Linked DNA regions of Mus musculus. The protein of the gene in region 1 binds, or shares a complex with, the protein of each later gene. Links are inferred from orthologs where the notes say so. Each region holds a gene or a part of one and is shown in the gene's direction. Other genes may lie near its edges. The genes, in order: Nalcn and Fam155a.

What was found.
Region 2: the proteins of Nalcn (region 1) and Fam155a are in contact, whole or in part, in a cryo-EM structure (PDB 7CM3), measured with the Homo sapiens proteins. The link is inferred for Mus musculus from reciprocal best matches to the Homo sapiens genes NALCN and NALF1. Residues at the interface, in NP_001337678.1 of Homo sapiens: Cys207, Val209, Asn220, Leu222, Ala223, Ile224, Pro225, Thr227, Tyr237, Pro240, Phe243, Tyr406, Glu409, Phe909, Ala1044, Lys1045, Asn1047, Pro1049, Arg1054, Ile1060, Arg1062, Ile1063, Asn1064, Val1065, Ser1066, Lys1069, Lys1080, Lys1081, Gly1083, Phe1084; in NP_001073865.1 of Homo sapiens: Lys278, Glu281, Phe282, Val285, His287, Lys288, Tyr289, Leu290, Gln291, Glu294, Tyr295, Ser296, Val297, Lys298, Ser299, Tyr308, Trp311, Leu312, Gln315, Leu335, Gln338, Thr339, Cys341, Phe343, Ile344, Leu345, Pro346, Asp347, Asn348, Asp349.

The regions. Positions count from the first base shown.
Region 1 is NC_000080.6:123,281,087-123,284,907, reverse strand, and holds part of Nalcn (sodium leak channel non-selective protein), read left to right. Parts: intron 1-1,171; coding exon 1,172-1,324; intron 1,325-3,690; coding exon 3,691-3,808; intron 3,809-3,821. UniProt on the Homo sapiens protein: Voltage-gated ion channel responsible for the resting Na(+) permeability that controls neuronal excitability. NALCN channel functions as a multi-protein complex, which consists at least of NALCN, NALF1, UNC79 and UNC80.
Region 2 is NC_000074.6:9,232,228-9,236,048, reverse strand, and holds part of Fam155a (transmembrane protein FAM155A), read left to right. Parts: intron 1-2,943; coding exon 2,944-3,115; intron 3,116-3,821. UniProt on the Homo sapiens protein: Auxillary component of the NALCN sodium channel complex, a channel that regulates the resting membrane potential and controls neuronal excitability.

The DNA.
Region 1 (3,821 bases):
ATGCAGCCTTAACTGTTCCAGCGTCAGCTCATTCTCCTCAGCAGGCTCCACCACACATTCCAATTGAATCAAATTGTATAAAAATGAAGGATTAAAAAGCAATTTATGGTTATTAAAATATTTATAATCTCCACTTATTAAACTCAATGGTATGAAATCCCAAAAATATCTACAGAGATGAAGTTTACAAAGCCACTTTTAAATTGCTACTAAAAGTTTTAACATATGGTTTATCATATTGTTGGGTCTCTAAAGACTACCTCTCATGGAATTTTAATGATGTGCCTGCTGCCTTCTGAACTGTAAGTTTGTATGAGGCTCTCACATATTAATGAATATGTACTCCATTAGCATATACTGTGTTTCCAGTGAGTACTTCTATTAGGTAATTAACATTTATAAATGCTTGTGACTCATACTTCACGTACAGAGAAGAAAGGCACATAACTCAGTATATACTTCCTGCAATGCAATTAATGTTATGTAAGATTTGTTTGATCCTGGTCTTCAAAACAACAACACCCACTACAAAAATAAGCATTTCTGTTAGAGAAAAAAGTTCCCAAAGAAACTAAATACTCCAGCCCAGCCTCCTAGAGCAAAGTTAGCTTCTCACTGCAACCTAATCAAAACATGGCCATTTTAACTCTTGTTCCATTAATCACAAATGTTCTGATCAGATGTTAAGAAGGCCCTGGCCAGGAAAAAGAGGCTGCTTTTGAACTGACCTACCAGTCTGGCCTACAAAGTTCAGAACAAAGAGTTCAAAGTTTCCTCCTCATCTACTCAAGACCTTCTGGTGCTTAGGGTTTTCAGGAAAGTGTAGAGTGGGAGGGGACTTGCATTGATTAAATGAGCCTAGAGTAAATAAAAGAAAAAAAAATAAAACACCCACATTAGTAAGTTTTGAATAATATATAAACTAGTATGGATGAGCATAAAAAAATCCAAATGTTATACAAATGAAAAAGATGGGGATGCTTCTAATCTTTAAGACTTGTATATCAATCTAATATCCTCAAAACTAGTTCAAGAACCTTACTTGGAATTTCCTAAGAGGACAGCAAAATCATAGGTCTTCAAAGAGGGAAGAAGAAACTGTGACTTGGTGGGAATGGGGTAAAGAGGTGGGCACATTTTCCCCCTTATGAAAGCACAGAATTTTCCATAGAAACAACAGCAGTCGTGCAGCATCATCCACAGCCTGAGAGAGAGCCAGGAGCAAGAGCGGAGCCGGCTATTCCTGAATCCTCCCAGCATTGAGACCACCCAGCCAAGTGAGGACAGCAACGCCAACAGCCAGGACCACAGTATGCAACCTGAGGTAGGATAAGTCACCCTTACCCCAATGATGTTCTGTGGGAGTTGATACTGGTCACAGAGACACTTCAAATCAAGTAACAGAATTTCTCACATGACCTTTTGTTGCAAAAGAACCAAAAATAATGAGAATGTGTATATTCATAAATTTTTTATTTCTTTTTTTAGGTATTTTCTTCATTTACATTTCTAATGCTATCCCAAAAGTCCCCTATGCCCTTCCCCCCACTCCCCCCCCCCACTTCCACTTCTTGGCCCTGGCGTTCCCCTGTACTGAGGCATATAAAGTTTGCAAGACCAATGGGCCTCTCTTTCCACTGATGGCTGACTAGGCCATCTTCTGATACATATGCAGCTAGAGACACGGGGGTGGGGGGGGGGGTACTGGTTTAGTTCATATTGTTGTTCCACCTATAGGGTTGCAGACCCCTTTAGCTCCTTGGGTACTTTCTCTAGCTCCTCCATTGGGGGCCCTGTGATTCATCCAATAGCTGACTGTGAGCATCCACTTCTGTGTTTGCTAGGCCCAAGGATAGCATCACAAGAGACAGCTATATCAGGGTCCTTTCAGCAAAATCTTGCTAGTGTATGCAATGGTGTCAGTGTTTGGTGTTTATTTCTGTGTGATGGCCAGGGAGCAAGAGCGGATGGGTCCTCAATATCCTCTTTAAGGACAGTCTTCACCCATTTAGTGTCTTAGGCTGGAAACAAAGCCTTCAACTTATGGGCCAGTCAAGATTCAAACTACAGAATTCATATACTAGAAATGGTTCACATCCTGAGTGGTTTTTGCTTGTTTCTTTTATCTAAAAGTTTAATGTTATCATAAAAGCTGAACTTGAGCATATAAATGTTATATGCTTTAAAAAATCATGATTATCATGAAGGCCTAAATATTCCCCCCTCAGTACATCATAGAAATTTTTAGTAAACTTAGGGAAATGTAGGCACTTGGCTTTCAACATTCTGTGATGGACCAAATGAATGCATTTATCCATTTATCTTTTCTTAGTTGGGCAGTGAGGAGCATATAGAACTCAGAAATGTTATTTGAGGATCTTCTGTCTATTAAAACACAGCTAGGTTCATTTTCAGTTATTCTAAATGCCTACTCAACAAACAAACAAAAAGCCAGAATTTCCAGCATCTGGGAGAGCCCTGTGCTTATGAGAAGCAGCTGGCAGGGAAGACCTGCCCCTTTATGTGGCTGCAATGGTGATTTGATGCTAATCACATGGAGTCCATCCAACACACTGTGCAGTGCCTCCAGCTGCACATAGTTCATCATGCAAAGAAACATACTCAGGGGAAAGGAACAAAATGAAGAGTAGGACTCCATGGCCCAGTAGAGGCTGCAAAAGGACCTGTTGTGCCATGGTACAGTTTTCTGTGGTTTGATGCTCCCAGCAAGAAACCAGGAATCACTTGCCTCCTTCTATAGACTTCTATGGGAGAATTCAGCAAAAGAGGCCAAAAGATCTACAGTCATCCTGCTACAGGTCTGACCCCAGGATATCTGGAAGTGCTTTACAAGGAAGAGCCAGATCAGGTTTAGGCAGACACTGAGACAGGACCAATGATTGAGGGGATGTAATGATTCCAGAACTCTCAAAAAGGTAGTCCAAAAATCAAGTGGAGGGAAACGCCTAATATGGTGTAAAAACCAGGACAGTGAGGGGTTGAAGAGACACCAGCTATTCCAGAGGACCCAAGTGCCATTACCAGCACCCACATCTGACAGCTCACAACCACCCATAGCTCTAGATACATGGCATCCAATACCCTCTTCTGGTCCTTGTGGGTAACTGTACATGTATGGCACACACTTTTGTACACACACACACACACACACACACACACAAATAAAGTAAATCTAAAAAATATGATGACTATGGTTAAGAGAGAGTTGAATTAGAGATGGGGGCAAACTGCCTTGCAATCCTCAGCATCAGCTAGTCCTGGGTTTGGGCTTCCCCAGGGCATATCATAGAGCTCTGTCCACCAAGATGCATCTTCTGGAGCTCCTGGTTCTGACCTTTAAGCTGGCAAAAGTCCATGTCCACAAAACATCCTGTCCCTGACATCCTGTCTCTCCCTATAGTGCCATTCTCCTTGCCTAATGTTCCAGCCAAGTTTAAGGAATCAGTGAAATCCTCAGGCTTGAAGGAAGTGAAGGATGGACACTCTAATGGAATGGTCGAGAAAGATACTACCTAGAGAGCTGTGAGGGAGGAAAATTAAGAAAGAGCCCAAACTGTTCTATACGATCATTTTTCAAAACCCCACAAATTTGTACAAATATTTGTGACCAATTAAATATGTGTATTTTTAAGAGAAAGACCCACAATGACTAATACTTCTTCCATGTAGACAAGCAGTCAGCAGCAGCTCTTAAGCCCTACTCTGTCAGACAGAGGAGGAAGCCGACAGGATGCAGCAGATACTGGAAAACCCCAAAGGAAGATTGGGCAATGGCGTCTGCCCTCAGGTAGGTACATCAA
Region 2 (3,821 bases), on another chromosome or scaffold:
TTTCAAGTCATCTTTTGCAGACTTACAAAATTGCCTTTCCTCCCATGCAAATCTTTTTTCGGTTAATGCTGGAATGTTCTAGCAAATGTCCTCGGTGCTTGTGTTGTCTGTTTTATTGCAAACATGTCCGCACAGGGAAAAGATAATTCCTTCCTTATATAAAACCATTCCCCTGCTTTAATCTCTCACATTATGATAAATATTTCTTCTCTGTCCTCCCTTATTTTGTTTCCTCCTCGTGGTTCCCGCTGCTGATTCTCAACAGATGCCTGGGAACAGAAATGTATTTCTCAGATGGGAGCTTTCTATGGCTATCTAAACATTCACGTTCACCACAGAACTGAAGGGCAGGGAAGCTGGCTGCATGCGTGCTGGCTCACTGTGGTGGCTGGAGGGCTCTCGCGCGCGCGAGCGCTCTCTCTTCTCTCTCTCTCTCTGTCTCTCTCTCTCTCTCTCTCTCTCTCTCTTCTGCCTGGTGATGAGAAAAAAAAAACTCACTCTGCTTTGGCCGCTCGCTCACTTCTTGAGGCAGGAACAAATATCTGCAATGGGAATGGGATGGAGCAAGAATAAAAATGGGTGCATCTCAGCTGGATCATGGCAAGGGAAAGGGTGCAAAGGATATGTCCATATCTCAGAATGCATCACTCAGTGCCACCCCATGGTCTGTGGGTGGAGTGGGGATGTAGACAGGTCATAACCTGACACTCAGACTTACGGATCTGAAAGGATATAAAGCTGCCTGAGGGTGTAGTTCAGTTGGTGGCATGCTTGCCTAACGTGAACAAGGCCCTGGGTTCTATCCCTAGCACAGCATAACTAGATATGTGCCATACTGCAATTCCAGAGAGATGGGGGCAATATGGTCATCCTTGACGACATAGTGATTTCAAGGCCAGCCTGGCACTCTGTCTTAAAAAAACAAAAAAGTGAATAGCCAGTCGGGCAGGACTGGAGACAGAGTGGTGCCCATGGAATCCCTGGAGCTTTTTCTGTATGTGCAGAAAGAGTCTTTAAAATAGAGCAGACCATTGTAGTCTAAAGACTACAGAGCCCCGTAAATATTCAGTGAGGGCTTCCACTAGCATGCAGTTTTATCACTAGCCTGTACATACGAAAATGCCCACTTGCTTCTAACACCTAGCAAAGGTAATTAAAGCCAGAAATCACAAAGCGCTTAGGGCACCCAGACACCATGGCTTCACTGACATCATAAATGCTGTATCCCCTGTCGGATTTTGTCACACTGGTATAGGTTGATCAAAAAGCGTCCCCCACTGATGCTTTACCCCAAGTGCAGTTTAGACACCACTTCTCTGTTCCTTCTTGTGAAGTTGATGTTTCTGCCCCTTATTCTGTGGTGTTAGCTGGTCCACAGGACACCTACCACCCTGGGAGCCCATGGCATACTTGGACTTGCCAGCTGAAACACAAGGTTTCTCAGCAGCCTCCTTGGTCATTGTTATGTTAGGATTCATTCGAAACTCCATGCACACAGGCATAAAGTGATCAGGATGATGGTAAATCATTACTGACTGCAAGAAACGCTACGTTGGCCATCTATAGTTATTAATAAATTTCATATTCATCTTTGCTGCCTTTAGAGACCTTTTCTTCAAAGAATAAAACGTGATTTTTGTGAAACTAATAAGAAATTGTGAGGTAATCCCAGAACAATTAGCTCATAATAAATGGGCTTTGGTCAGGTACCCGAGTCAAGTTGTTTACAGTTGTCTGAAAACCCTGTTAACGGCCGTATGTTTTTGAAAGCATTTTCTGATTAAGCACAACATAACCACTAAAAACAAAAGTCGGGAAATCTACGGATTTTGGGCTTTGAATTCTAAAACTTTCTATTTATTTCCGTACTTACTGTCCTCAAGAAATATGTGATCAGTCAATATATTCTAAATGCCAAGAATCGGGGCTGAAAAAAAATTTAATTTGCTAGGAAAATACATAAATTTGTTAAATACGTTTCATTTTCATCCTAGTTTATATTTTATTCATGTACATTTATTGCTAAGCCATCCATTTTTCAAGGTAGAGTATAATGGATGAAACATTAACTAAATAGTATTATTTACTCCTAGAAACTAGCAGAATCCACTGTTGCTAAAGACCTGGAAAGAAACTGAATTTCACAGATCTATGCTGCTTTGTTTAAATTCAGACTTAGTTTACTTCACGGTAGGGGGAAGGGGCGAATTTTCAGTGCTTACTTCCCCAGTAATCACACAGAGAAAGAGATCAGTGAAAGCCACACAGTCAGTAGAGTCCATAAATACTTAGCGAAGATAGATTGCACTGGGTCAAAGGTCAACTGCAGGATTCTGGGGTAGGAACGACCATTCTTCTAATCAAATGGAGCAGATTATGTCTGATTTGTACTGAGTGTTTCCGTTTTCAGTGAGGTTTTCAGTGCAGTCCGTGTGAGTCACAGATGCAAACACCCAGTTCTTGTTGCTGTCTGCTGTGGGCAAAGCAAGCTGTAACAGCCCACATGCTTTTGCACCTTGCAGGAGTCCTTGCAAAGCGCTTCGCGCGCCACCTAGTGCCCAATCGAGGTATGAGAGGTGGGAAAGAGCAACTGAGTCTCTGCCCCACTGCAGTGAGTTACATTATCAGCGGGGCTTATTGTGTTCTTTACTTTATATATCACTGGATCCTAAAAACTTTAGAGTTGGTTCAAATGCACTGTTTTCCAAGAGTTCTTTAAATTAAATACCTTTTCCATTCTCCATAGGCTTGTATTCAATACCCTCACTGCAGGTACTCACAGCGGCATTCTTACCATGTGGAGCTGTAAAAAGCTCTACCCCAGTTGTTTCCGACCCATGTAAAACTGAAGCATGCTCTCTCCACCCAGCCTAATCCTTATTAAAAAAAAACGTGTGTAGCATCCCTCCACAGCTCTGATTTTTTTTTCTCTTTGTTTTTCAGATTGTCTACAAAGCCTGGCTCTGCTCCCAGTATTTTGAAGTCACACAGTTTAACTGCAGAAAGACCATTCCTTGCAAGCAATATTGCTTGGAGGTGCAGACAAGGTGTCCATTCATATTGCCCGACAATGACGAAGTCATTTACGGAGGCCTCTCCAGCTTCATCTGCACAGGTACAGGCTGGGTGGGGCCCTCCTTTGATCTCCATCAATATGTTGCTTCCAAAACCCCGAGACTGCCCAAAGGTATTTTTATGTGGCCTGAGCCCAGAAAAGCCTCCCAATGTGATTTAAACAAGGGTCGATGTCTCTATCACACAGCTATGCTGCAACCGAGACTCTCTGTGAATGTCTCCTGAGGATAGCTGCAGAGTCTAGGGGGAATTTTATCAATGACTCCTTCCTATTTTGTGATGAATGTTGTCACCGTATCTTAATCAGTATTGAGGACAAAAGGAGATGTCAGCCTGGATCACGCATGTACACACTGGGGCAAAAGAGGCCAGGACAGGTGATTTTTATATTTTCTGATAACAATATCTCCTTTATTTTTTTTTTGGCAAAGAATCGAGATGGGCAGGATGCCAACACCAGCTCTGGTGTCCAGAAACCCATGAGTGTTATGTAGTTTAGGCAGACAGAGAACACAGGGTCAAAGCTAAGAACAGTCTCATCCTGACAGGTCATTAGTGGGGAGAGCACCCTTGCTGAGCACGGGGAGTGCACCCTTGCTGAGCACGGGGAGAGCACCCTTGCTGAGTGAGCACGGGGAGAGCACCCTTGCTGAGCACGGGGAGAGCACCCTTGCTGAGTGCTCTGCTGATGTGAGCTCTTTGGAATTCACTTCTTTCCTTTCAGAAGAGGAGGGAAGACCCAATTT